Yarrowia lipolytica: one gene and its partners. Each later gene encodes a partner of the first gene's protein in a complex. Links are inferred from orthologs where the notes say so. Each region holds a gene or a part of one and is shown in the gene's direction. Other genes may lie near its edges.

Region 1 (7,546 bases):
CTCAAGTGTCACCAACAGTTCTTTTCTTGTGGCCTCAGATGTGCACCAAACGATGATGCTTGCAAGAAGGGTTCACCCGAACGATGACACTTGCAAGAAGGTTCCCCGAACGATGACGCTTGCAAGTAGGGGTTCGAATGTTCTGAAGAGTGCAATTGATTCATTCTCTGCCTAAGCGGACTGAAATCGGCCCTGTCCGTCATACACCCCACTGCACCCAAACCTAATTCACCCCACCAAACTAACCCCACATTGTTGTGATCATAAGAGGTTATACAGCAACACCATCTTTCACAGGAAGAGACCGTATCTTCTTCCAACCGCTACAAAACGACCCACGTGCCAATCGCCACGTGACTCATACTACCACATCGTCGACAACAACACCGCAACTATCGTCAACCATGCTCTATGCCCATACTCTCATGTTGGTGGCTCCAGTTGATGGAGCTGTCCAGCAGGTGAGCCAGCTGTATGCACCAGTGTTGCGCAAGGCGCTGGAAATGACGTATCAGAACGGAACTCTGGATATTCTGACACTGGCGGCGCCTACCACGGCATTTGAGGCCGAGAAGCTGCTGCAGCAGTTCTACGGACTGGCTGTGGAGGAGGCCGCCAAGCTCGGTAGACAGTCCATTGACGTGCGGGTGCTGTTGGACGGCGAAAATGTCAAGTTGGATCGACAGCAGAGTTGGGAGGTGTTGGTGGCGGGCAAGTTTGGTGAGTATTGCCAGCGGGCGAAGCCAGCTTCCGAAGGACGCAGAAGACCAGGTTCTGGCGAAAGTCTCATTATCTGAGCCGCGGGGTCGTGAGAAAGACCTTGAAGTGAGCTTGATAGTGTCAGAGATGACAGATCAGTTCGTCATGCTGCTGATTTAGTCATGTCGTGAGCTGGATCGTGATCTGAGAGCGAGTGTTGCATTTGCACGGAGAGTGTGAAAGTTTTACTCGTGCTTGAGCACCAGATATGAGACGATCAAAGCCAGGTGGACAGCTTGTTGTGTCTTTCTGATGCTGCCCTTCTTTCCTCCATCAACGACGCCATTGCACAGTCCTCAAGATGTCATCTGTCATGTATTCTGACGAGACATATAATCTCACCCTTGACATGACAAAAAAGATCGACTAATCTCACATCTTGGTCTACAACACGTGGCACGTTTTCTCTCTGCCCTTGGACCTCATCGAACTTATGCTAACACAGAATCGGACCTCTGTTCTTCCTTCCGAGACTCGTTCATCCACTCAGCCACTGTATCCACCCTTCCGGTCATTATTCTGCCACAAGCTACAGACCCCGGTATGTTTGACCAGTCCCGAAAGTCTCAGGAGCCCTCCTACGACTCTACAGGCTACGAGGGAAGTGGCTACGAGATGGACTACGAAAAGCCAGGCTACAAGTTCGACCATGAACATCCCGAGGGACATACGACCGGGGGTACAAACACCCCTGATCACGTGGCCAACCCCGTGACGCTCAACAAGGCCGAGGAGCTGCTGGCGAATGCTTCTGAGGAGCAGTATTCTGTAGTTGCTCTGGGTGGCACTTTTGACCACCTGCACGCCGGCCACAAGATTCTGCTTACGTTGGCAGCCTGGTTGACGCGGGACAAGCTGATTGTGGGCATCACGGGCCCTCAGCTGCTGACTAAGAAGAAGTACGCCGAGGCCATGGAGTCGTTCGATGTGCGCGAGAGCCACGTTACCCAATTTCTCAACTACATTTCCCCTCCCCTTCGTCTTCAGCCTGTCATGATTAACGATGTTTATGGCCCTACTGCTTCGGATCCCGATATTGATGCTCTTGTCTTGTCTGCCGAGACTCGAGGTGGAGGAGCTGCCATCAACAAGGTGAGAGAGGAGAAGGGGTGGAGCCAGCTAACGGTATTTGAAATCAACATTGTCGGTGGCAAGGGCAATGAGGAGGACAATTGGGCTGACAAGCTGAGTTCGACGCAGCTGAGAAAGGAGGCATTGGAGAAGAAGGAGAAGTTGTGAGGGGGTGGGAGCAAGTTGTAGCTATGAGTGAGCTATCAGCGAAGCGCGTAGTCTAAAAACAGGAACAGAGTGACACTTTCTGGATCAAACGTTGCGCGGCTAGTTGGTAAGTGTTCCCCTGTTATCCACTGCTTTCTCATGATTTTACAGCTTGTTCGTGATCCCTGACATGAACGGAGCGGCTACCCCTCAATGGAAACGACCGGCTCCACTACTGCCCATCTCCCAGAATACAATATAGGAATACATGCATTTTATCGAGCGTGGGAGGCGTACTTGTACAACTGTATACAAGTACATACTGTGGTTGTTGGAGGACTCTATCTACCAGTTAAAAATGAGCTGTTTTAGGAATTGTCACTTCGGAATCGTACAAGTTCACCCTTGACAAAATGTCTTTTGTCGTCGAGAGCTGTGCAAGCAAAATGGCTTGTGTATGGAGCACAGGAAGACCTACAAATACTGTACTGTGCTTTTTCAAGAACTAATAGATCTTCTGATTGAAGAAAGGAACAGCTTCAGCGAAGAACATGACATCAAGCACGTGCACAGTGGTTCTTTCGTCATACGTTTTCCTCTAATACAACTCTCAGTTTTTTTTTCTCCTGCATACATTCATTTAATTATTTTTTTTTTTCTGATATACATTCATTTAATTATAACTTTGCCCGTGAAAGAATAACCTTTGAAAATGAATGTACGCTTACACACGAATATTTACTAATTAAACACGTTTAGTGTCATGGTCCAACTTGGCACGTACCTATTTCCAGTAAAAAAAATCATAAAAAAAACCTGGTTCAGTCCGTGTTGTATGTTGTCCACATAGCTTCGCGTGTTTGTTCGTTCATCGGGAAAACGCCCCCTCCAGTCTCCAGTTCTCTAATTCTCAATCCTTCCATTGCCCCTCTTCATTTGCATTCCCTTTGAAAACGTCTCCCTTGTTGGTTCTTCTTCGTCATTGGTTTGGTTCTGGCGTCCCCTGTGGTGACCGCGCCCTGCTACCCTTTTCTCTCGGTGGCCTCGGCCGCCTTTTACGCTTGCTACTGTCTTCTACTCTCGCCTCATCGTGAAAGTGCTGGCGGTTGTCCAATCGTAGAAATTTTTTTTTTTCTGCATATCATTCATTTAATTATAAACTTTGCCGTGAAAGAATAACCTTTGAAATGAATGTACGCTTACACGAATATTACTAATTAAAACACGTTTTAGTGTCATGTCCAACTTGGCGTACCCTATTTCGAAAAAAAATCATAAAAAAAACCTGGTTCAGTTCCGTGTTGTATGTTGTGCCACATAGCTTCGCGTGTTTTTGTTCGTTCATCGGAAAACGCCACCCCAGTCTCCTCTCTAATCTCAATCCTTCCATTGCCCTCTTCATTTGCATTGCCTTTGAAATTCTCCTTGTGGTTCTTCTTCGTCATTGGTTTGGTTTGCGTCCCCTGTGGGTGACTACGCGCCCTGCTACTTTCTCTCGGTGGCCTCCGGCCCCCCTTTTACGCTTTGCTACTGTGTTCTACTCTCGCTCATCGTGAAGTGCTGGCGGTTCCATCGTAAAAACACATCTGGGCTTCCTTCAGGAAATTGAAAGCAAACCCTGTTGGACATGTCCCAGGGTGGGCGTCGTCCCCTGAGTACCGGAGGGATACTATAACTTTGCTTGATTGCAATCATTGTTGGTCTAGCTAACTAATTCTTAATACAAGGGGATAGATACGACTAACTCCATATTTTCCAGCTCTTAGGGACATGAACTGTTAAAAAAACCTATTACCGACATTAATTTTTCCAAATGGTATATATTCAATAAGCCTCTGGAATGAACATACATGGCCAAGTATGAATACCCCTTCATCCCCTCTCACCTCTTAACAAACCCCCCCCCCCCCCAAAAAAAAAAAAAAAAAAAAACAGTGCATGGGAAGCTCGTGTTATAGAAGGTCTAAAAACGACATTTTTTTGATAGGTTTTTGTTTACAGTGAGATTACTGAACTTGATAAAGGCAATTTTTCTAATAAAAACCACCCCTTGCCATATAATCATGCCTCTCTTTCAACATCCACTCCTTCCCTGTGGCCGAACATGAAGTCTAAATTTTTCTCAATGCATAATCAAAATCGAGCCGTGATTTTTTTTAAGCGAACATAGACCCAGACACGAAACACACCATGAGCGACCTGTTTGTGCCGGATGAAGACGTGGAGGTCAAGACCGAAGACGCGATGGACGTGGATGTTGCTCCGGTAACCGAGCATGACGACCAAGACGATCCTATTGTCAAGGAGTTCCCGGTGTTCTTCTCGACCAGACTGGCAGGCAACATCCACCTGTACCAGTACCCTGCTCGGTCGGTGGACTCGCCATACACCTCGTCGCACGCCACAGGTATCACCGAGTCGCGAATTAAGAAGGAAAGTGGCGTGGTGGAGGTGGACGTGCCTGTGCCCACAGATCGATGCTACGACCAGGCCAAGGGCACACAATGGAAGAACATCGACAACCAGACGCTCAAGGGCCACCTAGTGGAGTCCAACCCGCAGGAAAACATGGTGGGTGTGTTCAAGAACAATGAGCTTCACCTCAACCCCATTGTTTCCACTGCTCTGTTGCGTCCTTCGTTTGATCATGTGAACCAGGAGAACATCAAGGACCCTGCTGCTGCTGCCGCGGCCAAACGGACAGCCCAGAACGCCAATGAGCCCAAGGCCATTCAGATGACAGTCAAGTCGTCGTCCGAACAGACGCCGCGGTTTTCCGGGGCTCTGCTGGCAGTCAAGAAGGCTGAGGACGAGGAATTTGTCACATTGCAGTGGCGAGATCGTGACCAGGAGGATACTTGGGATGTTGGTGAGCTGCTGACGGCGGAAAAGAAGGACAAACTGGAGTGCTCCACGACCAGAGACGAGTACCTGGAGGCCATTAGTGTGCCCTATGTTGATCCGGTGACTATGGCTGCGAGATGTTTATAGGGAGTGTCCGTCCGAAGTATGCTCACGAACGGAACAGTGCAACATGGAGCAACGAGACAGCTGCCATGGCTGGAGTGATGGCCTTCTGGAAAAATATGGCGGTTGTACGAGCGACAGCCAATGTTGGAGCATCGGTACAATGAAGCGTCTCTTATTGTAGATGTTTGTATAATTAGAATAGATGATATTTATAACGGATGTGGCAAGGAGTAAAAGCTACATAGTGTTAAAAAGTCCCTTTGGTGAGGTTGAGGGCACCACGACCATCTTAGGATAATACACTGTACCGCTCTGGCTAGAGACAGTGCTGTAGATGATCTGTTGGCTGTCGCCTCATCCGCAACTATGTAATCCAACACTGAGAGATAAAAGATCCAGAGGGATATCGTAGGGGAGATAATTTGCCATGGACGTCTGGTTGAACTGGAGGGCCAATATCGTGCGTGTTCGGGGACTTGGTGTTGAAGATACAAGTAACCTCAACTGGTTGATCTCGGAGACGAACTTCAGAGAGTCGAGAGAGTGAATATTATGGCTTGTTACAGACCCTGGAATGTAAAGTACAACTAAATATCAATCAATGCATTATGCTATTTGTACACTTGTGGATGTTGTCTGTAAATTGTCTGTGAGAGAAGTCATTAATCTGAGGGTACAATCTGGGGGTACACAGGTGGTCGTCTAGTAACGATCGTACTCTTCGAACTCCTCGATCCACCGTCCTAACATCAACTCCTCCACCTGATCCCTCTTTCGCTCCTTCTGCTGTCCCACACTAATCCGCTTGCTGGTTCGTTTGTTGGTCATCTGCTCCACCAACTTGGGGTTCTTGATAATCTGGTTAAACAGCTGCTTGACGAAGAAGAATTCTGCCTTAGAGTCCACCTGCTCCAGCGTGTTCCAGCCCTTGGCAAATCGTCGCATCGCATGCTGTTGCGTGTTAGTAGCTGATTCACCACCAATCTCCATGTACGTCTCTTCTATGCATTGCCGCACCAGAGCGTGCACATTTGGAGGACCTGCCTTGATTGTGTCTCCATCAGCAGCCGTAGAAACAGAAGAGACCGACTTGACACTGTTGCCAAGCGACTCGGAAGACATGAACACTTTTCGCAAAGGGTTCTTTAATGTCACTTCCGGTGCATTGTTCTCACTAATGGTCAGTTGTCGAAGTACAGCGGGATTGATTGTGCTGGAACTGCTGTCCATGGACTTGTCCAAGTACGTCTCCATCTTGACGGTACCAAAGTCCCACGAGTCTTCTTCCTCCACCTGGTCCATGCTGACGACCGTCTCCACAGCCATCTTCTTGGGCTTCGTTTTTCGATGTCGCTCCATCCACCGTTCCCGTCTGTCAACCAGCAGTTTGAGCTGGCTTGTCTTTCCAGCCTTGCGGATGAACCGATGTTTCAGAAGCTGTCTTCCAGAAGGTCGTTCAGCGGGGTTCTTGCGCAAACAACATGCCACAAAATCTCGAAAATCTGCAGACCAGTTGCCTCCAGCAGGAACAGTAGGCGGCTCGGCTTTGGGGATCAGAAACAGCACCTTCATTGGATGGTATTCACTCAAAGGAGGTTCTCCCTTGGCAAACTCAATGGCCGTGATTCCCAACGACCAGATATCCGCCTTGGTGTCGTAGTCCTCCTGTCTGATGACCTCGGGTGCCATCCAGAACGGCGTGCCCACAAACGTGTTTCGTCTGCTCATGTTATTACTCAGCTGTGTGGCCACTCCAAAGTCCGCCAGCTTGACAGAGCCTTCTGACGACACAAGCACGTTCGCCGCCTTGACGTCTCTGTGGATCTTGCCATTGTCATGGAGATAAATGAGTCCCTCCAGCAGCTCACGGCACATGACTGCAATTTCGGGTTCATGAAAGATGCCTGGTTTCAGCAAGTCCAGACCCGATCCTCCAGCCAAGTACTCCATGATGATCCACAGCTTGTATCCCCTGACAAAACAGCCATAGTAGGTTGTGATGTGTTCGTCTTGGCAGCCCGATAGAATTGCAATTTCCTTCTGAATCTCCTCAATGTCGTCTTCTGACGACTCCAGGTCGATTTTTTTGACCGCAACAATCTGCCCGCTCACCTTGTCGATGGCCTTGTACACGACTCCAAAAGAGCCCGAGCCCAGCTCCTCCAGCAGCTCAAACTGGTCGGCCGAGTAATGTCGCGAGCGTATGGACGAGTTGGAGCCTGCTGTGCTGGGACGTGACGTGTTTCTGGGCGGACATGTTGTGGAGGAAGATGTCGAGGACGACCCGGAAATAGACCGTGGCGTAAGATTGGCCAGCCGTGATAGTTCTGAGCTTGCCGATGCCATTATGCGTGTGTTTCGCAGAGATGAGATGCTGCTGTTGTAAGACTTCTGAAAGTGTTGAACTTGTTTCGTTGCTGTGGCTGTGGCTGTTTCTGTTGTTACCTGCGGTGGTTGCTGGTGTTGCACAGGGCCTGAATGTACCTACTTGTAAAGTGGAGAATTCGTACTATGACGTGGAGGCTGTTATGCAGATGCTTTCGTATCGTCGGTCCGTGTCGTGTCTATGTCGTTTCTTGACAAGTCAAACCTGTAACAG
Region 2 (7,603 bases), about 350 kb from region 1:
GGAGAGAAACATTCAACATTCAGCACTTGTATCTAATCAGCCTCTTGGAACGAGACATTCAGGCCGTCCATGATTGGGCCCAAGGTCATGATGGACATTACCGGCGAAAATGGCTCGTGACCCAACATGTGCTGAATCAAGATGTCCAAGCAACAGACCAGGCGACTCACGACTGCGGGCAGCGATACCACGCCCACTCCTACTTCAGCAGGACCTCGCCGAAAGAAATTGCATCTACGGAGGCGTCATGACTTGCAAGTCTGGTGCAAATCACATTGATTGTGTGAAGAGACATGGCAGCAACCAGCTGAACGATCCTGTGGGGAGAAGACGTATTTCAGCACAATTAGAGTGTGTAAAATACTGTACAGTCATCTTTCGATGACATGAATGGAAGAGACTACGGCTCACAATGTGCGATATTGTGCGTAAATTGGTGATTTTTGCGTCCCCATCACTTCTGTATCCAGTTGGTCAGGTTCATTTTGAGTTGCAACTACCAGGAGGAACGCTGTTCACCACTCAACATCTCATGGCCTCTTGTTAACGTCTTGTTAGCGTCTCCTTGTCTTCTGTTCTTCCCAGTCTTGTGTCTGTACGCCTACAGGTCCTAGTCGGTGTGGGTGCCATATTTCTGGCCTACGCGGTCTACTCATTGGGTGCTGTGCTGGGTACATCGCCATCATAGAAGAACACCTGTGCCTGCGCCTGTGCCCTGTGACCGCTGTGAACGTGGAAGACTTGTCACTCTTCTCCGTCGATATCTCTACCACAAGCCCAGATCCCTCCGCTCCAGCTGTCACACATGGACGCTTGTGCACACGCAAGCTCCCAGAGTGGACCTCTTCTTGCTGCTGACTTGTACCGGTCTATTGCTACTGCGAGACTCCGCAGAGTCCGTCAACTACAGCCACAACCAGGCTTGTATTCGGGCAGTCCGGTTGCTGTTGGCGAGTACTTGTGTCTGTGGAGTCTGAGGATGCTGCTTATCACTTAAGAGGGCTACTAGAGAGAAGTTCCTACACATCCGGTTGAGCTGACATTGAAGCGACTGGCCACACAACTGATTGCCTAGAGGCTTCGATCGGGGGTCTGGGCAGATTGTGGGCGGGAGATGAGCACGTCCTCAAACTGGTGGGCAAACCAGGCTCCGAAGTGGCAGCACTTTCCCAGAAAGTCGACACAAACAGAATCAACCACTCATGCTCGACAATGTTGTCGAACTGGAACTGGTATCCGTAGCTCAGACCTACAAGTACGAACTCCCCAGCCTTCCTCCGGAGCCATTGCGGAGAATGGAAACACGACGAGTGGGATTCGAAGAGGCCGTGAGGATATGAAAACAGTGCAACGTAACCGGAAACAAGCCTCCAAGACTGCTGCAGCGACGCCATCTTCCGAGCCACTGACATGAACTCGGGGAATGTTAGTCGGAGTATTCCCTTGCAGACATGAAAATCAATTGCGTATTACATCTTTGTTATATACAGAGTGGAACGCTCTATGACCACATGATCTGCAGCCATGACCTACACCCACTTGAGCCTTGTGTGAACCTCACCTCACTAGGCGTCAAGGTATCCCTCCAGAATTTGCTGCACAACATCCTTCGAAAAGGGAATGTACAGCTTTTTCATGCCCATCTTGTCGTCAAATGCAACCACCATCTTATGGTCCATAAACTCCTTGAGTTTCTCCTGGAAATCCTTCTTGTTAGAAACCGTCAACTCGTTAAGACACTCCGTCAACACCTTGTCATAATCCACAGAAATGGACGTACTTCCTGTCAGAGCACCCACCTCGGCCTCAGGCAGCTTTCTCTTGTCAGCCACATTGTGAAACTCCTCCAGCTGACAGTAAATGAGGTTCTTGTAGAGACTTCGATGGTTCGGAGTGACCGACTCAAGTACATACTTGACACCCTTGGCACCCTGGGCCTCAGCCTTCTTACCAAGCAAAAGCGGATCGTCAAACGACGTTTCAACCGTGTAGGGAGCAAACGTGGTCACATCATGCCACACAAAATTGTACGAGGCCAGCTTGGCAGAGTCCCACATCAAAGGAGCCATAATATGATCGACAGATGCAACAAACCAGATTTGAGAAATACTCATGAGCTGAGACAGATGAGTAGACGCCTTGTCGATCCGCAACGACTCGCCATCAACATTGTGACACAAGACCACCAACGACGGCTTTGAACCAGCTTCAATATCTCGCATAGTGTCAACCACCAGTTTCACCAAGAGATCCACATCCTTGGGCAGTTTGTTTCGTACCACAAAGCCCTTTTTCGCAAAGATGTCCTCATGATTCTCGTAGAGAACGTCCACCACGCTGTTGAGCACCGACTTGAACTGGACAGACGCATTGTATCCGTTGATGACAAGAATGGGGATTTCCGAGTCCACTTTTTCGCACACAAAGTCAGTCAGTAACTCCCTCTTGCTTCCCAGACCATAAAACAGCAACGAAAACCCTTCCGAAAGCTCGAAAATCCATTGCGAGAACATTCCGCGGTAAGCATGCCGCAGCATCTTCTTCTGGTCGGCATGAAACAGCTCATTGGCCTGGTTTGTGTACTTAAAGAAGACGGAGTGGTCGATGGCAGGCGCCTTGGCCATGGTGTTGGCGTTACCTCGTCCTCGGGTCTTGTGTTGGTCAAAGTATCCCTCTGAAGAGTCCAGGAACAGAACGCGGTCTTCAGCCGCAATCAGGGCACCCACGTTGGCCAGCGACCGTTCGTCGGTGTGGAAGTCGTTGGACGAGTCGAGAATCGGAGCCCGGCTCTCTCCAATGATCCGTTCAGCCAGCTCAATTTCATCTTCGTCTTCGCTCACCAGTCCCAGAGACTGATCCAGTAGTGTTCTGTTGGCCTTTTTTCGCGCCGATTTGTCGTGGAGCGACCGTTTCACCGGTGACGGCGTTCCCGGTGCCTTTCGAGGCGACGCCGTCCTTCTCGGCGTCTGTTTTCTCGGACTCGTGGTCTTTCTTCTCTTGGGTGTGCTCACCTCGTCTTCAACCTCAAAGTCCTCATCGCTGACGTCACTGGTGTCCAGTCCGGAATACGAAACTGGTGCTTTTCTTCTGCTCATGTGATGAATGGTACAACTAGTCGGTGCGGGCGCCGTCTGGGGTTTGTCGCCTCTGCGGTATGTATGTCGTCCAGTGGTGATGCTCTAACGGTCAGATTAAAAAGGAACCGATAAACAATCTCTTGGTGAACTCGAACCCCGGTGCTGGATAAGTGTCGCCGTCTCGTCGCTCTAGTGCGCCGTATTGTATTGTAATGGTGGTGACAATCACTGATCAAAACTCAGAGGTGCATGAGAAACGCCCACCACCATTTTTATATTTTGAATTTCAGACTTTTTTATTTGGTTTTTCACACCAGCACAGACGACACAAACACAGGATGCTAACGTTTTGTCCCACTTGTACAAACATGTTGACGGTGAGTAGGACGGGGGGATATTGAGGGCGGTTGCTGAGTCAGGATTGGGCCAGGAACGACCAGATCATAGGTCGCGTGGATGAAGGCGAGATGAGACGAGACGAGAAGCGAAAGGCGAAAGGCGAAAGGCGAGGGGCGAGAGGCGAGAGAGGGTGAGGTGTCAGAAATCATTTGAAACTTCTTTATCACTAGTTATGTGCAATTCTACTCTTCTCTTACGGTTTTTTGCAGATCAATGAAGTGGCTAGTCATCGACCACACCCGAGAGAAGAGGTTGCCGAGTTCGATCTAGGTTGAGATTTGTCTAAAAGTATTTGTGTGCGCATCTACCGTCCGCTTTTCTCCTTCACCGCATCTACCATGTCCCCATCTCGTGACTGATCTCGTTGCTGATCCCGTTACACACTCCACTTAAGCATGCTGAATCACCATTGACACTCCATATACTAACTCAGCTGTCGACCAGCGGAAACGGCATGCGGTTCGAGTGCCGGACATGTCCCTACGAGTACTACTTGCAGGACGGCACCATCGTGTATGACCGAAAGGTCCTGGAAAAGAAGAAGGTGGACAGTGTTCTCGGTGGAGAGAACGCCTGGGAGAACGTCGACAAGGACCCTGGCTCGCAGTGTCCCAAGTGTTCCAACATGGGTGCTTACTTCTACATGTTGCAGATTCGGTCTGCGGATGAGCCCATGACCAAGTTTTGCAGATGTACGGCCTGTTTCCACCAGTGGAGAGAAAACTAGTGAGCTTAGACGTGCCAAACACGTTATGGGAAGGATAGAATGCATGTAATATATTTATGATTGATTGTCTGAGTGTAGAGAGTGACTGAAGACCTGGAACCGATCGATGGAGGTGTCAACAGAAGGGAAAGCCCAGCCTGCGATTATAAACAAACTCCGGGCTCGGTAACAAACACTTCACTTCTTGTCCTGTGTCCCTGAGAGTCTCCAAGTCTTCAGCAGAGGAGAAGTCGTTTGAGATTCATTCGTTAACAGAGGTTCACTCGGATGTTACTGGCCGTACTGTACATACTGTAGGGATGTTGCCAGATCTACCCAAGTTCAGTATCGTATCGGGAGAGCTAAACGCTCATTTTGCCCAAGTGGTTCGCTCCAGTGGTTCGCTCCATCATCATTTCTCTGTCAAATGACTTGGAGTCATTTCAGAACGCCTTGCTCACGCTCTGGTCAAGCCCCCAGAATACCCATGCCCAGTTTGCCGTCCAAAACCTCAAGAAAGCTGGCTTCTTCACAGTAACAAACAGGGAACATTAGCTGTGCCTCCATATCAATCACATATTCGTGGTCGCTGATCGGTACTGCGTAAACCAGGTTTTAACAGAGCTTCACACATCTTGGTAGGTGTAGAGCAAAACAACGGTTGCTCCAGGGGTCCTTCGATATCCATGTCATTCGAAGCCAAGTAACCAAGTCACGGTAACAGTCAAGCCCTGCGAAAGAGTCCGATGAACAGAAACAGATTGTGGAAGTTCTACGCCCCAGGGACAGTTCACACGACTGTCAGTCTGTTGACTTAAGTGGGCCAACCCGTGCATCGCAATCTCGAATCATTGCCAATAGTGTCGGAAGAAGTCATACCTAAATGCCTAGTCACCAAGTTCGTCGGAGACCCACTCAATATAGCTCACTATTGTTGTCATGGTGTCGGATAAAGCCCTGGACCCGGGAGAAGATAACCTGGAGTGCATCGCCAAGTGCCGCGCGGTCCTCGGACCTTGATCACCGTTTGTTTGAGAAGATGGAACACATGGATCAACACGTTGCCAGGTCTCAAGAAGGCCAAACCGTACCATGGATGACGGTGGTCTTGGTAAATTTCGAACCTGTCATGTTTTTTATCTTCTCCCGAAAAAAGGACAGTCAAGAGTAGCCATAATCAAGTCGTCATTGTCATTCACTCCCGCCTTGTATAGACCATTGTATAGATGCCCTCGGCGTGAATGCAACGGTTCGCTCGGCTCAAGCCATCAACGAGCGCAACCCCCGCAAGGCCTGTCAGGTGCAATCTGTACCAGTGGTTCTCTCCATCTTCATCCAGCCGGATCTTTCTGGGTCTGTTTATGGCGATAGTTGACTATCAGACGGGCCCCGGTCTGTGCAAAAGCCCGCGCATTGGACCCTGCAGCTCCGAGTAGGTCAAAACAATAGACAGCAACAGGGTCGGCTGCCAAACATCTCCAGTATGTATGGTTCCACAAGACCGCTATCGCAGGTCCGCCACAGCTCCTGAGAACCTAAAGACTGAGGGAGTGCCTGCGCTTGAAATGGAGGCAGCTCGTGTGAGGCTTGAAATCCAACCCACACTTACCACGAGTCCCATTGATTGTAGTTGGCGGTGCAGTTGATGAGTGGTGATGGCACTGATGGTCACAGATGGCACTGGTAGTTCATCTGGTTCATCACAAAAGATTTCCATTGACTTGGCATTATCTTGGACTTATCGGTTCACTGGCTTATCCGTGATGCTGCGACTGACCATGTTTGTCACCTGGGATCTGACTTCTAGGTCTCGCTACCGGCTCGGTTTCAGCACGGATTCCAGCTCAAATTCGGCATGGGCTTCCTCAAGCGCCATACTGTCGCCAAAACCTAGACATTTGCAAATCTTCCAAGGAATCTCCGAAGACAGCATTGGAGAGGTGGAAGAGGAGGTGCGTGAGTCGTATTGATGGAGGGAGTGACGCGAAACTGACTTAATGACCTGTGTAAATGACGCGCTAGACACCACCCCAGTTAGATCCTACACACATGACAAGACATCGGAACCAAGCCGAAACATCACACAATTAGACTGCTTCTACTAGAACCTTCCAACTAAACCAATGTCAACTAATACACCATTTTCCCTTTTCACCCCTGCTTGAACAAGCACACACACCATGTATCGTACCTGCATCCCCTTACATATCCTTGCAGCACAAACATGCAGTATGTACGAGTGATGCACATGTTACCTTGACCTCTGCTACGTACTGTGCCATGTTACAAGTACAGTAGTCAATTTGAACAATAAATTAACATATTTTTTCCTCCTCCTTCTTCCCTTAACCCCTCTCTACTTACAAGAATCCGTTCTCTTGGAGAATCTTGGCCATCTTATCGTTCGAGGGCTGCTTGTCTCGAGGCTCCAGTGCCAACGACGTCTCGTACTGGTCGTCGATGCTCGGAGCCTCCTTGAATCGAGCAGCCACTCGCTGCTGCACCTCCGGTAGCTCCTGGAACGAGTATGGAATGCTCTGGTACTGCTGAATCTCCCGCACAATCTCTGCCGTCTTGGTTCGCTTGCTGAAGTTGATCAGCTTGGGCTCACCCTTTATAAAGTCGGGATTACCGTCTGCCACAAACGTCAAGTCCGTCAGATAAACGCCGAAAAACGGAATGATGGGTGGGTTCACCAAATGCAACATGTCCCGGTACTCGTTGAAGTTTCGAGTGGAGTTCATGAGCTTGTTCATGTTCTCCAGAGATGCCATAGTTCTAGCAGAAACCAGCTCCCACGATTTTTTCAGCCGGTGGATCGTCGACGAGTAAAGTGCAGAAATGATAGCTGTCATTGAACTGAAATTGTTGATCTGCCGACACTGTTCACTCACTTGCACAAAGTACTTGATGACAGAAGCTCGCTTTTTGGTATCCTTCTCAGCCAGAATGCAGGCTGCCACCCAGTTGGTTAAGCAGTTGGAGTTCTGGATGAATTTTCGAATGTTCGACGGCTCTCCTCCGCCAGAGGTGCCACGCTTGCTGTTCCACTCCTTGTTAAGACACTCAATGGGAGAGATGGCACAAAAGAGACGGGACTCCCGTATTGTAAGCTGGCGGCAGAGTTCCACAGAGTCCAGGTCCTGCAGCTTTTGTCGCTTAAAGTTTCGAGAAATGATCGGAGAAGGCGTGGGAGCAGGGTTCTGGATCATGCGTTTCTTGAGCTCCTCGCCCTTCTGGCGCACCTGAATGGATGTCAACAGCTGCTTGGCACCGGGGAAGTTCTGACTCACCATCTGCAACACAAATGTCTCAATCTGACCAAGCAGATCATGTGTCACGGGTGAAATAGGCTCCAGCCAATTGTGTTCCAGCCAGTTTTTCAAAATATTGTAGACACGGATCCTGATAGGTCGCTGCT
Region 3 (7,413 bases), about 150 kb from region 1:
TGACATTAGACACGAACTGGTTGCTGCATGCATTTCCGAAGGAGTTCTGCCCAAAGACGCCTTCAACGCGATTTTCAAAGACTCAGGAATCAGCGTAGAAGCCCTCGATTACGCAGACGAGCTGACGATCGACGGACAGGCTATGAGCCTAGATACAATGGCAGAGCAGCTGAGCTACGAGAATCTCGAGATTGGGTCTGTTTCCGACTGTCTCATGTCCAAGGTGGTCGCTCAGATGGAGAAGCTGAGTGGAAACGCACAGGAAGCGCTGACCAAACGGCTGCTAGTGTGCCTGGCAGACTTTGTGCAGGCAGGAAACGTTCGACCAGTACGATACATGTGCCAAGCTTTGGCACTGAACACAACTGCTGTCGACATTATGGCCCTTTGTGTCGATCCCATGCTATTACTCAAGGCTCTGGTCGACTGCATTGAGCTATGGAGAGAGGAGGAGGACGAGGCCAACTACCAAGAAGCTTACACGGACTTTGGAGCCATTGTGGTCTTTGCCATCACCCTCAAGCAGCGCTATCATCTCGATTTGGCCCTGTTGAACCAATTTGGAACACTCTTTGTGGGTGCTCCTTCGCCCTCCAGCACCATGCCATCACACGAGTTGTTTCTGTCACAGCTTCTCACAGAAAGCGACTCTTCACAACGCATTTTCCATCTTTCCGACGAACAGAACGACCAGCTCAGTGGATGGGCTACCGCTCTGTATGACGCTGGAGGCATCTCCGACGATCTAATGCGATCGTCATCCGTAAAGCAATTCTTTCTTGTCACCCCTGCCATTTTTCAACAAAGCATGCTCGCCCACGAGAAGGGCCTACTTTCTCTGTCGACCTTCAAGGGAGGCCTGGAGTATTTTTTGCAGCCCTTTCTGTTGGGATCAACAGTGGGAGTGTTCAAGTGGTTGTCGGAACAACTATGGGTGCATTCGCAAAAGGGACACGACGAGCAGATGAGTACAGTTATATCTGTTTGTTCCACTCTAATTCTCACCGATAACACTGACATTGAGGTCTTGTCTCCTATTCATCAAATGGTGCTGGCTATATGTGCTGACGAAATGTACGAGGCTCTGGATATGGCTCTGAGGGCAGGCTACATGGTTGAAAACCGGGTGTTTGAGTTCCTCGAGCCTTTTGTTTCGGCCATCAACTACAATCTCAACGTGCAGCGAACAGTGTCGTCTTCTGGTTTCCGATCGCAAAAGGGAATCGGTATGAGTGGGGGTGGAGGAAGTGGTACCAAGGAGCAGACGTGGAAATACGGTGCTTCCATGATTGCCACCATCAAGGAGCAGGTGTCGTCACTCATCAGTTGGTCGCAAAACCAGTACACGGGTCCCCCGTTTGGATACGAGCTTGTGATGATCCTGTCGTCGGTCGACACTCTGGGCCATAAGTACGTTCTGGAGCAGCTGATCGAGGAGATTGCGCTGGCGGACTCCAACGGCACAGGCCATTATACCGTGGAAGTTGTTGCTACGATTGCTACGGTTGCATTCATCATTTCCACGTCTGTGAAGAGTCCACGACCGTTTTCCGACTCACAGCTCATTCTCAAGTCACTCGATAACATGGTCAACGACTCCACGGGCAAGAGCAAGGACATTTGCGTGCTGCTGCAGTCCAAGATTCTGCAGTTGTTGACTACAGCAGGCTACAAACCCGACGGAAGTCGTCTGGACGGCAAACCACATGCTAAAGAGGACTATTCGTTTGTGGTGAACCGAACGGGCGAGGTTGAGAATAAGCCCATCAACGACTCGTCGCAAAACTCCAACACTGACAACCAGTTTATGGACACTAACATGTTTGGAGGCGACGACTTCACCATGGACTTTGGCGGCGACATTGACATGCCCGACTTGTTCTAGGGTGTTTGTACAGTAATTTTATTCATATTTAATCACATGTGTAGGCGATGAGACTGCTATCTGCTCAACACAGTGTGCGATATACCCAGATTTGCACGCAGAAGGTCCAATGTGATCCACTGCACTTGAACCTGTGATTCTCGTCACACACAGCTGGGAATGGTGGTACAGTACTTGTCTACACACAGCCAAACGGCCCAAACATGTCCTGCTACAAACCGCGGCCTGACCTGGTCAGCCCTACACATGTCCTCAATAGCATTTTAATAATTTTACATGTACATGCACGTTTTAACCTCGGTGAGCCATGATCTTACCCTTTCGAGTGGTAGTCTTGGTGTGCTGACCTCGGACCTTGTAGCCCCAGTAGTGTCGGAGACCTCGGTGGGCTCGGATCTTCTTGAGTCGCTCAATATCGTCTCGCAGCTTGACATCAAGCTGGTTAACGAGCAGCTGGGAGTCCTTACCGTCGGTAAAGTCTCGCTGTCTGTTAAGGAACCAGCCGGGAATCTTGTACTGACCAGGGTTCTGGATGATAGTAACGATTCGCTCGAGCTCCTCGACGGTGAGCTCACCGGCTCGCTTGGAGAGATCGACATCGGCCTTCTTGCAGACCAGGTTGGCGTATCGTCGACCAACACCCTTGATCTTGCACATGGCGTACATGACCTTGATTCGGCCGTCAACGTTAGTGTTGAGGAGTCTGAGTTAGCAAAATACTTTCTAGTGGCTGAAGGGAGTGATCACCGATTAGTGGCCCTTGATGAGACTGATCACGATCCATCAAATCTCAAGCATCATAAAAACGAAGTGGTAGGCAGAAGTTGACAGTCAGACAAATGTACGCAAACAGGTAAGAACACATAGTGTAAACACGCAGAACAAATGCTCAAACATGTTCAGTCTGCTTGGTCCTTTCCATGTCGCATGACCCGTCTTTACTCATCATTGACCTTCTGTGCCTTCTGTATCTCCATCACAAACCACCATATCGAGCTTCAATAATCGTGTAATAAATTCTCTCCCTGTTCTCTCTGTGCTGTCTGTACATACCGAAGAATGTGCTGGAAGTTGCCTTGTTCAGTGACGACGAGGGACATTTTGGCGTGTAGTTATGGGTCGACCGGTGATGATGAAAGAACTGGTGCTTTACACACTGAACTTTCGTTTGCAATTTTCCGAGTCCAACTCTATCCAAAACGGAAATATCATGTGACACTTAGGGTTAGCCCTAAGAGCCATGAAAACAGAGGCAGGAGGACAACGTGCGGTCGTAGGTTCGATCCCCAAAGATGTAAAACATTTAAATTTGGGAGTTCCAAAGCTTAAATTAAACCAGCTCTGGGATTGTGGTCTTGCTTACTAAGCGCACAATTTGAGAAGGGCAAAAATCTACCGATCCGAGAGTATTCAAAAATACAGCATCACAGTGACACAGATATCCGTTTCGGGTGTCTTGGCACATCTTACAGCCTTGTACTCACGTGTGTGGATCTCCTAAGATGCTGTGAGTTCATGCACACCTTGCATAATTCAGAAAAAAAGTGTTGTCGTGAATATACCAGTATTATCAACAACATGAAGGTGGAAAAAACTCGAGAGGCTCTGCTGTCCAACTTTGAGGTGCTGGCTCACGTGCGGGACCAGGAGCGTGCCCGACGAATGTCCCAATCCGCGTCGGCAGCCTCCAACCAGGGCACTTCCCATGCCGAAAACCTCGAAACCGTCATCTACGAGCTCAAGGACTATCTCAACAAGTCTCCTGCTGCCAGCCAGTCGCCAGAGGCCATTACGTTGTTTCTGCAGAAGATCAACCATCTGGGGCTCGAAAAGGCCGAGCGATTGCAGCTCATCAACTCCGTGCCCACGTCTATCGTGTCGTTATACTCCCTGATCGAGGAGTGCGATCAGCGTTACAATGAGGACCAATGTGAGGAGATTCTGGACGCGATTAGAACAACTCTGGTCAGTGAAGAGGATGCTATCGCTGAATAGCGAGTTCACAATGAGCAGATGCCGAAGACAAGGCTTTTGGCAGTCGACTCAACCATGACACACCCAAAACAATGTATACTACGGAAAAGTGTGGAGGACACGTTTGCATATAATTTAATGAACAATAACGATTGATCAATCAAGTACAAGTACAAGTACACACGAGAGTTGATAGTGTCATAAATACCGTTACCAGTTTTGTTTCTCTTTGTGGTCTTGTTCATCGGAGTGTATACAGTATCAGCCCAATGTCTACACCAAGATTTGTACAGAGCCATCAACTTTCAAAGGCAGTATCGGTGTTGTAAACGGTATGACTACACTGCAGTGTGTCGCAAAACATCTATAATATCATTATCCAAACCCATTTTACTCGCCCTTCTTTCTAACTCCAGACACGATATCGTCGACTCGCAACAACAAGCAAGCAGACTCAATGGCGGTCTTGATACTCTGCAGCTTGATGGCAGCAGGCTCCCACACGCCGTACTCCTTCATGTCAACAACCTTTCCGTTGTCACCGTCAATGCCGTATGTGGAGAAACCCTCGGCTTGCTTAGCTCGCAGGGTGGCCAGAGTTCGAATGGCATTACCACCACAGTTCTGAACCAGGGTTCGGGGAATCACCTCCATGGCATCAGCCACGGCCTTGAAGGGCCACTGTGCAACACCCTCGATGGTCTTGGCATGCTCGGCCAGTCGCACGGACACAGCCATCTCTGTAGCACCTCCTCCGGGAGCCAGCTTGGGCTCGAAGAAGACGTTTCGAGCCACAGCCATGGCGTCAGCCAGATTTCGCTCAATCTCGTTGAGAATGTCCTTGGAGGGTCCTCGCAGCAGCACGGTGCATGCCTGGGGGTCTTCGCCTGTGATAAATGTGTAGTACTCATCACCAATCTTGGAGATCTCAAACAGGTTGCACAGAGTACCAACGTCGGAGTCCTTGATGTCCTCGATTCGGTTGACGATGGTGGCGCCAGTGACTCGTGAGATTCGGTTGTTATCGCTCTTTCGCATTCGTCGAAGCACACTGCAGCCGCCCTTAAGCAGATAGTGCTGGGCCAGATCAGACACACCCTTCTCGGTGATGATCAGGTCGGGTTTTACCGATAGCAGCACCTCGCACTGCGCCTTGATCTGCTCCTCCTCCAGCTGCAGCACTCGGTTCCAGTCGGCCTCCTTACTGATCTCAATGTTGGTCTGAGATTCACCCTTCTTGTACTCGAGAGGACAGTCAAGCAGCACCACACGGGGAGACTCGATTCGCCGTCGCATCTTGGGGTGGGTGATATCCTTGTTGATCATGACACCGTCCAACACACGGGAGTCCTCAATCTCACCTCCGGGAATCTTTTCCACTCGGACGTATCGCTTGATGTCAACCTCCTTCTTGCCGTTAATGTCGACAGCAACGGTCTTGACGGCCTTGAGAGCCAGAGAGGACATCTGCTCGGACCATCGGGACACGTACTTGGTGCCGATGGAGGCGGCAATGAGCTTCTTCATGGCAGCCTCGTTGTTGACGTCAACGGGAACAGAAATCTCCTCTACAACCTTGAGAGCCTCAGCAAGTGCATCCTTGAGGGCGGCGATGATGACAACGGGGTGAATGTTCTTCTCCACGTAGGGGAAGGTCTGAGCAAGAATCTCTCCGGCAAGAATGATGACGGTGGTGGTTCCGTCTCCAATCTCCTCGTCCTGGGTTCGAGACAGCTCGATCATGGACTTGGCTGCAGGATGGGTGACCTCAATCTCTCGCAGAATGGCGTGACCATCGTTGGTCAGGGTGATACCTCCCATGGGGTCGAGAAGCATCTTAAGCATGGCCTTGGGACCAAGACACGTTCGCACAATATCGGCGACACTGGGTTAGTGACATTTCTGAGGGTGGTGGATGTTGGATAAGCGTAATGATGGAACCGGCGGAGTCGACTCGTCGGGAGGAGTTCAATGGTGGTGTTGCATTCCCCCAAACACGACTCTACAGCTTGATATCACCACAAATCAAATGTCCGCCCTATAAGAAAAGATGGCCGAAGCAGCTGTCCACAGCCAAATTGGAAGTCCAAACAACATATAAAGGGTAAAACAGCTACCCCAAACGCCCCAATTTGCCTCCAATTTGCTTCAGAGGCCGTCCACCCCTCCAATTCCACCCTCCACACTCCATACTCACGCCTTTGCAGCAGTAATGTTGCTGGTCTGGGCCTTTCGTCCGATTTGACGTTCCTGGCCGGCGTCTGCAGTTAGTAGTTGTTCGTCGATTGTGTTTTTGCGGCCCCTTTTGTATCCACCGGGTACCATTTCGCATGGTGTTCTTAGTCATGTTGGAGTTACACGTAGAGCATAACACCAGACCTAGGTGGCGATTTGTGCCGCAAAACCCGTCGCGGACAACACGGGGCAAGTCGTGGGACGCGGTAGCACGCAATACTCACTCATAACAACGACAGGAGCTTGCATTGTTGTTGATTTTGTGGTTGATCTGAATGTGCACTTAGCAGAAGAAATCAAGATTTCGAAGAGTAGAGAAAAGTTGGGATAACTTTAATGCGTGGCGAGGCGTCTTGTCTTGGATAAGCTGACTAAGCGGTAGAATCCTGCGGAATCTCGTGGAAGGAGAGGAAAATATTTTCCAAAAGCTGCAGTTGGCTTTTTGTGGTGAAATTGTCATGCGACTGTATATTTTTATTGATTCTGCTGGTGCTTGAGCGTGTGTTGTGGAGTGAGTCTCGAGTGTCATGATGGCATAGAACCATCTGAAATACTCGAGGAGGTTCAAATGTCAAGAAAATACCATTAAATCCGGTCATTATGAGCTATTGGAATACATATTTGAAGTCCCCATACACCCTTCTCTTCTGGTTCTAGCTCCAGTGACGGAGATATGTGTTTGAAGAGCCTAAGATGTTGTTCCAGGACCACCATGGGCGACGGCAGTACACTAGAGAAGTAAGAAGTTGTTTGGAAGAATACACAAGTGCTCAATATCTATCTACAATCTTTTATTTATGTACCAAAGCATCTGGTATGTTTTTATCTGAACATATGTCGCAGCAGTAACACGAGGCGAGAGAGAAGACTCTAGTGGATCAATTGGATCAGAAGAAGAAAAATCACTTCAACAAGTGAATTAAACGGCTCTTTATGTCCGCTAGACACATATTTGGGGGTGTTTTTTCGGCAGATATGGACCATTTACTTGTACATGAACATGAACATGAACATGCAAAAGTGTGTGTATAACAGTGGGAAGAACAGTCGTTGTAGACGTTTTCGAGGTCATTTGGGCACTAGACAAGCCCCCATAAACACCATCATCCGATTAATCACAACTCTCCAGTCAATCCACTCCATCTCCATCATACTACAAGTACAAATACTGTACTTAGAACAGTTTTTCTCGTACACCGTATACAGTAGCACCGGCTCCTGTCTTACTACTAATCTACAAGTAGCTGTACCAAGCAAAAACTGTTGTAGCTCCAATCCAGGTTCAGTGATAAATACGTACTACTTGACATTCACGAATC

What was found.
Region 2: YALI1_D24687g (region 1) and YALI1_D28213g share a complex: the UniProt entries of both Schizosaccharomyces pombe proteins name them as parts of the RNA polymerase III (Pol III) complex. The link is inferred for Yarrowia lipolytica from reciprocal best matches to the Schizosaccharomyces pombe genes rpc37 and rpc11.
Region 3: YALI1_D24687g (region 1) and YALI1_D26142g share a complex: the UniProt entries of both Schizosaccharomyces pombe proteins name them as parts of the RNA polymerase III (Pol III) complex. The link is inferred for Yarrowia lipolytica from reciprocal best matches to the Schizosaccharomyces pombe genes rpc37 and rpc17.

What each region holds. Positions count from the first base shown.
Region 1 is NC_090773.1:2,464,494-2,472,039, forward strand, and holds YALI1_D24687g (uncharacterized protein), read left to right. Parts: upstream 1-4,167; coding exon 4,168-4,968; downstream 4,969-7,546. Other genes in the region: YALI1_D24649g (uncharacterized protein), read left to right, coding at 405-720, 1,205-1,998; YALI1_D24718g (uncharacterized protein), read right to left, coding at 5,650-7,293; YALI1_D24719g (uncharacterized protein), read left to right, coding at 7,314-7,546. UniProt on the Schizosaccharomyces pombe protein: DNA-dependent RNA polymerase catalyzes the transcription of DNA into RNA using the four ribonucleoside triphosphates as substrates. Specific peripheric component of RNA polymerase III which synthesizes small RNAs, such as 5S rRNA and tRNAs.
Region 2 is NC_090773.1:2,817,578-2,825,180, reverse strand, and holds YALI1_D28213g (uncharacterized protein), read left to right. Parts: upstream 1-3,415; coding exon 3,416-3,454; intron 3,455-3,909; coding exon 3,910-4,203; downstream 4,204-7,603. Other genes in the region: YALI1_D28242g (uncharacterized protein), read right to left, coding at 555-858, 906-1,027; YALI1_D28221g (uncharacterized protein), read right to left, coding at 1,566-3,095; YALI1_D28150g (uncharacterized protein), read right to left, coding at 6,543-7,603. UniProt on the Schizosaccharomyces pombe protein: DNA-dependent RNA polymerase catalyzes the transcription of DNA into RNA using the four ribonucleoside triphosphates as substrates. Component of RNA polymerase III which synthesizes small RNAs, such as 5S rRNA and tRNAs.
Region 3 is NC_090773.1:2,610,166-2,617,578, reverse strand, and holds YALI1_D26142g (uncharacterized protein), read left to right. Parts: upstream 1-3,400; coding exon 3,401-3,880; downstream 3,881-7,413. Other genes in the region: YALI1_D26186g (uncharacterized protein), read left to right, coding at 1-1,885; YALI1_D26146g (40S ribosomal protein uS13), read right to left, coding at 2,177-2,588, 2,939-2,985; YALI1_D26114g (uncharacterized protein), read right to left, coding at 4,250-5,744, 6,057-6,184. UniProt on the Schizosaccharomyces pombe protein: DNA-dependent RNA polymerase catalyzes the transcription of DNA into RNA using the four ribonucleoside triphosphates as substrates. Specific peripheric component of RNA polymerase III which synthesizes small RNAs, such as 5S rRNA and tRNAs.